Linked DNA regions of Xenopus tropicalis. The protein of the gene in region 2 interacts with the protein of the main gene of each other region in a biochemical or structural test. Links are inferred from orthologs where the notes say so. Each region holds a gene or a part of one and is shown on either strand. Other genes may lie near its edges.

Evidence for each region.
Region 1: the proteins of cdk7 (region 2) and gtf2h3 form a complex in vitro, tested with the Homo sapiens proteins (2 studies listed by BioGRID). The link is inferred for Xenopus tropicalis from reciprocal best matches to the Homo sapiens genes CDK7 and GTF2H3.

What each region holds. Positions count from the first base shown.
Region 1 is NC_030677.2:160,973,031-160,977,598, forward strand, and holds the start of gtf2h3 (general transcription factor IIH subunit 3), read right to left. Parts: upstream 3,038-4,568; 5' UTR 2,993-3,037; coding exon of another isoform or gene 2,983-2,992; intron 1,411-2,982; coding exon of another isoform or gene 1,331-1,410; intron 915-1,330; coding exon of another isoform or gene 808-914; 5' UTR 701-807; intron 1-700. Other genes in the region: eif2b1 (translation initiation factor eIF-2B subunit alpha), read left to right, coding at 3,190-3,364. UniProt on the Homo sapiens protein: Component of the general transcription and DNA repair factor IIH (TFIIH) core complex, which is involved in general and transcription-coupled nucleotide excision repair (NER) of damaged DNA and, when complexed to CAK, in RNA transcription by RNA polymerase II.
Region 2 is NC_030677.2:186,223,402-186,226,333, reverse strand, and holds part of cdk7 (cyclin-dependent kinase 7), read left to right. Parts: intron 1-165; coding exon 166-284; intron 285-1,391; coding exon 1,392-1,491; intron 1,492-1,620; coding exon 1,621-1,707; intron 1,708-2,118; coding exon 2,119-2,268; intron 2,269-2,932. UniProt on the Homo sapiens protein: Serine/threonine kinase involved in cell cycle control and in RNA polymerase II-mediated RNA transcription. Cyclin-dependent kinases (CDKs) are activated by the binding to a cyclin and mediate the progression through the cell cycle.

The DNA.
Region 1 (4,568 bases), about 25 Mb from region 2:
GCCTTTCAGTGTTAGTATTCTTCATAGGGAATTATAGGTCGCTGTCATGCTGCATGCCTCAGCTGTTTCATTAACTATATATAGAAGATTGCAACAGACATACTAACTGTCCCATTACACAGGGGTTCTGAAGAACTATATTAAAATTTGCAGAGGACACCTTGGCATCCCCACAGATATGCTCACCGTCTCTTGGGCATTGCAGATATCCCTTATATGTACGCCCACACCAGACTTACCTACAACTATTTTACTATGCTAAAAAGGCCGTTTTTTGCACTGGCAGCAGACATCTGCATTGATGACACCTTACCATATCAGAAACGAACATATATTGCCAGAGACTGCCCCAATAAATTTCATGCCATCTGGGTTGCTTGGTAAATGCTCTAGCTCTACTAATTAACTTAATGCCTGCATACACTGTGGTACTAATGCTATTTACTTGCCACACCTTTTCTTACCTTCCTGCTTTCTTTCTTTTCCGTTTCTCAAACTATTGCGTAAAAGTTTGGGAAAATAATAACTTTTAAAAAAAGGGACCTATGTGTTGCTGTAGGCATAGTAAGGCCCAATGGTGTGGGTGGCAGTACACTTTCATATAAGTTAAACCAAGTGCAGAAATAACATAAGAGGAGATGAGGACAAAGGCAGTTAATTGTTTTTGCACTTGATTTACTAGTTATGAAGGAGTTGTTACCTGTGGTGCAACTTGTGGCCAATGGGTCCGCCTGCCACTCACACAAATGAGTGTTATTCTCCCTTTTAACTATTATTGATATTGGTACAGATAAAAGCTCTGTTTACCTCTCTTGAATATGACTGGCAATGACAGCAAGCTTGTTATTACGGCCCATAAATAGATGGGAATTCCCCATCACTATTACTGCATCAATGCATTTTGGAAGTGTTACCTGCCGAAAATAAAACATAAAAATGGTTATAACAAGCCTGCATATTAGCATATTTTTAAACACAGTTACATTGGGCTAACATGCCTGACAATTACATAATAAGCTGGATGTAATTTAAAGGCAACACAGAAGGAACTGATAGGATTGGATACAGAGAAATAGAATTGTATGTGATTGCCAAGCAATTAGACTGAGATGAATGGTCATGTGATTGTTGTTATGATACTGATCTGAAGCTGCTGCAACACTGCAAGACATTTGCAGTTGAATAGTCTGCTGTACATGGAGTACTTAACAACCAAATAAATTATTTTTTAGTGTGTGGGTAGTAAGCTCAACTTTTAACAGGACGGCTAACCTACCAGGACCACTTGTAAAATGCAATGTGTCTGGTTCATAAATGACTTTTTCTTTACCTCTGAATGATTAAGTGCCTGCTGACCCCACCAAATAGGATTCACATCAACAACAACAACCAAAAGATTCACGTCATCATCTGCAGGAAAGAAGGAATTTTTGAAATGCCTATTCTAGCAATAGGATGGGTGTCAGTTCTCTATTATCTTTAAAAATTCTACAAAGCATTTATATGCATTATGGTAAATCACTACCATCAACTGAATAATATATGCCTTTACAAATTCCTTTCAAATGTGTAACTATATTGAAGTTTAACAGTTCTCAAGAAACTTATTCCCTGCAGTCTGCACTTGACGCTGCTGGTTCATTCAATATATTTTTCTACCAAACTGGAATCTTTTAGGGCTGGTATCTACTAAAAGTTGGCAAGACCCATGATTCAGCATGGGATTCTATTGTATGAGAGCAACAGAGTTAGTTGGAACCATTGTGGGAAGCAGCTAACATTGATAAAGCACAGATGCCTATAGACTAGAAGTTATACAGGTAAATCTTTAATGTTATAAGCTATATAACATATGATAGTATAATTTACAGTAGCATATTCATTTAAGATGCCAGCATTATTAGCATGTAATAACATTTTTATACATATAGTGCAAACACACTTTATTATCATTTATCCTGCAAAATTCACAATTCAGGGTACAGCTACAATGGAGACATCTGTGGACCTACAATACAGGCAATATCTTAATGGCAGTTAGGGTTGGGAAGGCAATTTTACACAATGCTGGGGCAACACAAGATTTAAATAAATCCATGAGAAGGGGTAAGTGAAATGTCCGCTTGGTACAGGCAAATTTGCCTGTGTTCCATTTTAGGTTATAACATTTATCATTTTCATGCACATACTTTTATGCAGTGCGGCATTTGACATTTACTGAATAAGGTCCGTCACACTGGATGATGGCATTACCCTATATTTGGCAATCATATAGGAGTAGCACTGTATGTTGGCAAAGGTTTGTCATCTGCTATGCTACACAGACTTGTTTCAGAGAATAAGGAGTTGTTTGCGGCAGATTATTAACTGATTGCTCAGTTAATAAAAACTAGTGGGGGATCCAGTGGGGAACTGATTGATGTAGAAATAAAAATTGAACTAGGTTTCTAAAGTGTTTATAAAAAAGGCTGTAAAAGATGTTGTATTAGGGACCAGTACCCACTTGTTATGCCACTGGCCTAGACTGGCAATATGGATATTCTGGCAAATGCCAGTGGGGCAGCTGTTAGGTGCTATAGACTTGTGCTTTATTTTGGGCCAGTGGGTCTGCCTAGGCCACCAGTCCACCTGCATTAAATAGCTTATAATAAGTTGATATATGAATTGCATGCAGTTTCCAAATGATTCCTGAATGTGTCACTGAGCTGTAGGTCCGTTGTGCGCCTGTCAGCATGGGACATTTCCATAGCTACCCTGTAAGTAGTATTCTGTACTAACCGGAAGTGGCAATGGTATTATGGTGCGTATTTCTGGGTTTATATAGCGCAGGGCTTTATTATCATCCTGCACTTTTCACAATGCGCCCAAGCTCTGAATTGTTCTGAAGAACCCCAACACCAAGCATAGCCTGGCAGCCTCTCAGGCGGCACCCCCACACCGCACAGCCGCATTCATAAAATCCACAACACCCAGGTAACTCACCAGAAGCCATAGCAACTCTTCTTCTCAGAATGAAACAGCCATTGCACTGTCGCACTCCAATGACGTCGTCCGCGTAAGGGCGTCTTCTGTCAGCTCGCCATGCCGAGATTAACTCTGTCCTTGCCAGATGATAGCAGGCCGGCGTGGAGAAGCTTTTGGGTTGTAGGGTAGTAGCGACTTTTTCTTTCAGAGAACGCAGGCGGAACCATGAATGAAGAAGGTGAGGACTGGGGTCCGGGGTCCCGCAGCATATACACAAGCCGAGCGCCCCAGCAGTCAGGCTCACGGAGCGGGGGGTCAGGCCATGCTATATGGAATTCAGCGATAAAGTTATCTCCAAGCTGTGGGCTTCCAGCTGCCATTGGGATCTACCAACCTGCTGGTAAAAGCTCCACCGATGCAGGGTGGACACGCTACAGATACATTGCCGAAATATATCAAATATATAATATATGGCCCAATTACCAATGGAAGCAGCTGGCATGGTATAACAGTCTCTGTTGTGAAGGAGCCCTCATATTGTCAGCTCTTATGTTAACCCTATTGTCCCTGTGACATTATCATATCCCACAGCTACAGACAATGTTGCTTTATAAATAAACTATTACATGATATGGGCCATTCTCACTTAGTGCAGTATTTACTGCTGGTTCCCTGGCCCTGGCTTGGGTATATGGGATAATATAGAAAACAGCAGTAGAAATAAAGGGAAAGTGATGGAAGAGCAGTCGGAGCAAGGTTACATTCATTGGAATTTTGACTGTAGAGCCTCTTAAACAAACATGCAGGGAAGCTGTATAGTGTGAATATTTGCTTTTTATGTTTCAATTTTTTACCTCATAAGTCTAGATAGTATAGATATAGTATAGTATCGTAATATAGATACACATTAAGAGGAAAGAGTAGGGAACTCACACAGACGCCTACTATTACCCCAAATTGCTTCCTCAGTGCCTGGTTAAAACTCAAATATTAAAAGAGACTAAAAGGTTTGTAAAAAAAATGCCTGACATGCATTTAGCCAGAGATTTATTAAAGGCGAAACGCGCGTCAGGCAGTTTTCTAAAATCTCTTGAATATTGGGAGTGTGTAATAATTGGAATTTTGTCAAATTTGCACAAGACTTCTATAGGGTGTTTGTTCTTGTATCTTGTTGTAGTTCAACTACTAGTTCCTAGTTAGGTATTTGGGCCTTGGAAATTGGAATCATTTAAGTTTTCCTCTTCTGTAATATTGATATAAAGACAACTTTAATCACAGCACTTGTCACTTTAATCAAATTGGGGGACTGTAATAAGAAATACTATTGCATTAATATAACAAAAAGCACTAGTATTTTGTTTAGAAAAGTAAATTGAATAGACCTTGAAAGGTTGTCTTCTCTTTCTTCTTAATTTGTTATAGTTCGACTACACCCTCGCAAGGTAATCTGGTTCTTGGAATTTAAATAGATAATTCTGAGTAGGTAAAAACTTTTTACCTTATCAAAATATAGATACAGTAATTACATAGGGTAAGTTCATGGCATTTTACCTTTATAGAGCAGTGATCCCCAACCAGTGACTTGTGAAAATGTTGCTCCCCAA
Region 2 (2,932 bases):
AGCTACACTAGGAGGCACTTTTTATATGTTTTATGGGCAAAATTCCATTTTTTGTCCTGGAAGAGGGTCTCACTAAGAGATGAGGCAGTCTGTCACACGCTGTATCCCACAGAAGGTCTCTTTTACAGTATATGGTTATGTATAATAATGTGTTTATTTTTATAGGACTTGAAGCCAAATAATTTGCTGCTGGATGAAAATGGGGTCCTTAAACTTGCTGATTTTGGTCTTGCAAAGTCATTTGGGAGTCCAAACAGAATATATACTCATCAAGTAGTAACAAGGTAGAGTTTTTCTATACCCCGGAGTGGGCTGCAGAGTATTGTAGGCACAACTACTTTATATGTTAATGCAGGTGAATGGGGAATGCTTATGGGGGTTATTTTTGTTTTTTCAGTTTTTGTTTATTGGTTGTTTTTACATAGGAGACAAATGTATACTCATCCCAGATACTGAACCCTGTACGCAATAATGTAGCACTCTCTCTAGTCAAAGGACATGTAACCCCCCCCCCTAAAAAATGTAATCCGTGAACAGCCTAATTTAAAATATCTAAATGCCTGCCAGTGTTGAAAGGTTAATAGTAAGGCTGCATCCCTTAATCACTTAGGATAACTTCTCCTCTACCCTGCTTGGCCCTCCCCTTAGGAAGTGACTTTGGCTTTTGGCTTCTGAGCATGCTCAGTTATATTCAACCAGTCAAGAGATGGCAGTGCTGGTTTCTATAGAAACTCTGCTCTATTTGTGTACTCTGCTGGGGTGTTCTGTCCTGAGCTCTGCTTAACCAATTAGTGCTCAATCCAAGCAGGACTTTTGTTAAAGTAAGTTCTGCCTCAATAAGCCTGCATTCTTGATGAACTTTACAGTGAATAAGTATCTTTGCGCACATGTAATGTTAGGCACCCCCAAGTGACTTTAATCGCTTACCTTTTACCCCGGGCTGGTGCCCCTGTTAGGAGCAAACCACACCAGCCCGGCGTACCTGCAGCGAGCGATTTCTTTCTTCCTGCTGCCAGCAAAATCCCTGGGCCGGCGCATGTGCAGTAGAGTGAAAAGCTGACTTTTTTGTTAAAGTCGCAACCAGGAAGAGGAAACACTCGCTGCAGGTGCCCCGAGCTGGTGCAGTTTTCTCCTAACAGGGGCACCAGCCCGGGGTAAAAGGTAATCGATTAACGTTACTTGGGGGTGCCTAACATTTTGGCACCCCCAAGTGACTTAGCCCCTCCCTCTCCTTTAAATTGGTATTGGAGTTGGTGAGGAAGATGTAGTTACCCCATTCATTGTATTTGAATTTTTGAAGCTTAATGTAAACTTTCTAAAACTGTCTGAAAATTAGTGTTGATGTTTTTAATTAGGTTAAGAGACAGTGACCATAAGCTTGTGTTTTATAGGTGGTACCGATCTCCTGAGTTGCTGTTTGGTGCTAGAATGTACGGTGTGGGAGTAGACATGTGGGCAGTTGGCTGCATCTTAGCAGAGCTGCTACTTCGGGTGAGTTACAGACACTTTTTTTTTTTTTTTTTTGCCATGGTTGTCCTAATCATGAACCTTTTACCTGTGGAACTACAAATCAGATCACCATAGTAACTAAGGTTTAATTTCTGTAATGTATTTTAAAAGGTGCCCTTTTTGCCTGGGGACTCTGATCTAGACCAACTTACAAGAATATTTGAAACTTTGGGAACACCAACAGAAGAGCAATGGCCGGTATGTAAACTCACAGTTGAAGGGAAATAATCGCTTCTGCTTTTTACACTATGTATAGATTCTGCATTCTGCCACATGGTGGAAACAAGAGCTGTAACAGCAGAGAATGGTTTCTGCTAAAATGCTTGAAAAATGACAGTGAAGCTGGCCCTTCCTATTGCTATTCTCTAGGAGCACTTTCTCCAGCCTGCATTTTTTTTATACAAACTTCTTCACAAAGGAAACAGGAGAAAGTGGGTTAAAAAAAACACAGCACAAAATCATAAGATTATAAAGGAAAGATAAAAAAGACAAAATAAGGGGAAAAGGTAGAGCTCATATATAGGAATAGTGTCTGTTTAATAATATATATGCTTTATCTGTTTTTTTATATATGATATTTAATATATCTATTTTTTTAAAATTGTACAGGGCATGTCCAGCCTTCCAGACTACGTTGCCTTTAAAAGTTTTCCAGGGACACCGCTCCACCATATTTTTATTGCAGCTGGTGATGATCTTCTTGAACTTTTGCAAGGCTTATTTACCTTTAATCCATGTGCACGATGCACAGCATCCCAGGTATGTAAAGTTGCAGCATTTGCTCACATAAAAAAAAAAAATTTCTAGTGTCCAAACGCTCTGTAGTGGTCAAAAAAGAAAATACATATGTTTGGTAAGGACCAGCAGCACTCTAAAATATAAAAACAACAAAATATCTTTTTTTCACATACCACTTGTGTGTCCATATATTACTATATATATATATATATATATATATATATATATATTACTATAAAATAGCTGTACTATAAATACATTTTATCGTAAGGGATAAAACAAAGTAACAGCCAGAGTTGGCAAGAAAATAGTTTTTGTTTTTTTGAGGGTCTCTTTTTGTTGAGAAACAACTGTACTCCTATCACATTTCAGACTCCGATTTGAACCCCATGCCTGTTCCCATGTAGAACGCAGCATGGATGCAGCCAATTCAGATGATCCAACTTGGTTGCTAGGCATGCACTCATTCATGCTGAGTTCTGTTATCTGGCCATGGCATTGCTTTGTGACATTTAGAGGCCTATTTATTATGCTGTGTAAAAAAGGCCTCAAAATTCTCCATGCTTCGCTGCGTAGAAAATGGCGTAATTTCTTTGTGTTTTTTTTTCTGGCAGAACTTACGTAAAATAACGGTGTAGAGTCCATTTATTTTACACAGATTTTTACACCATTTATTTGGCGAATT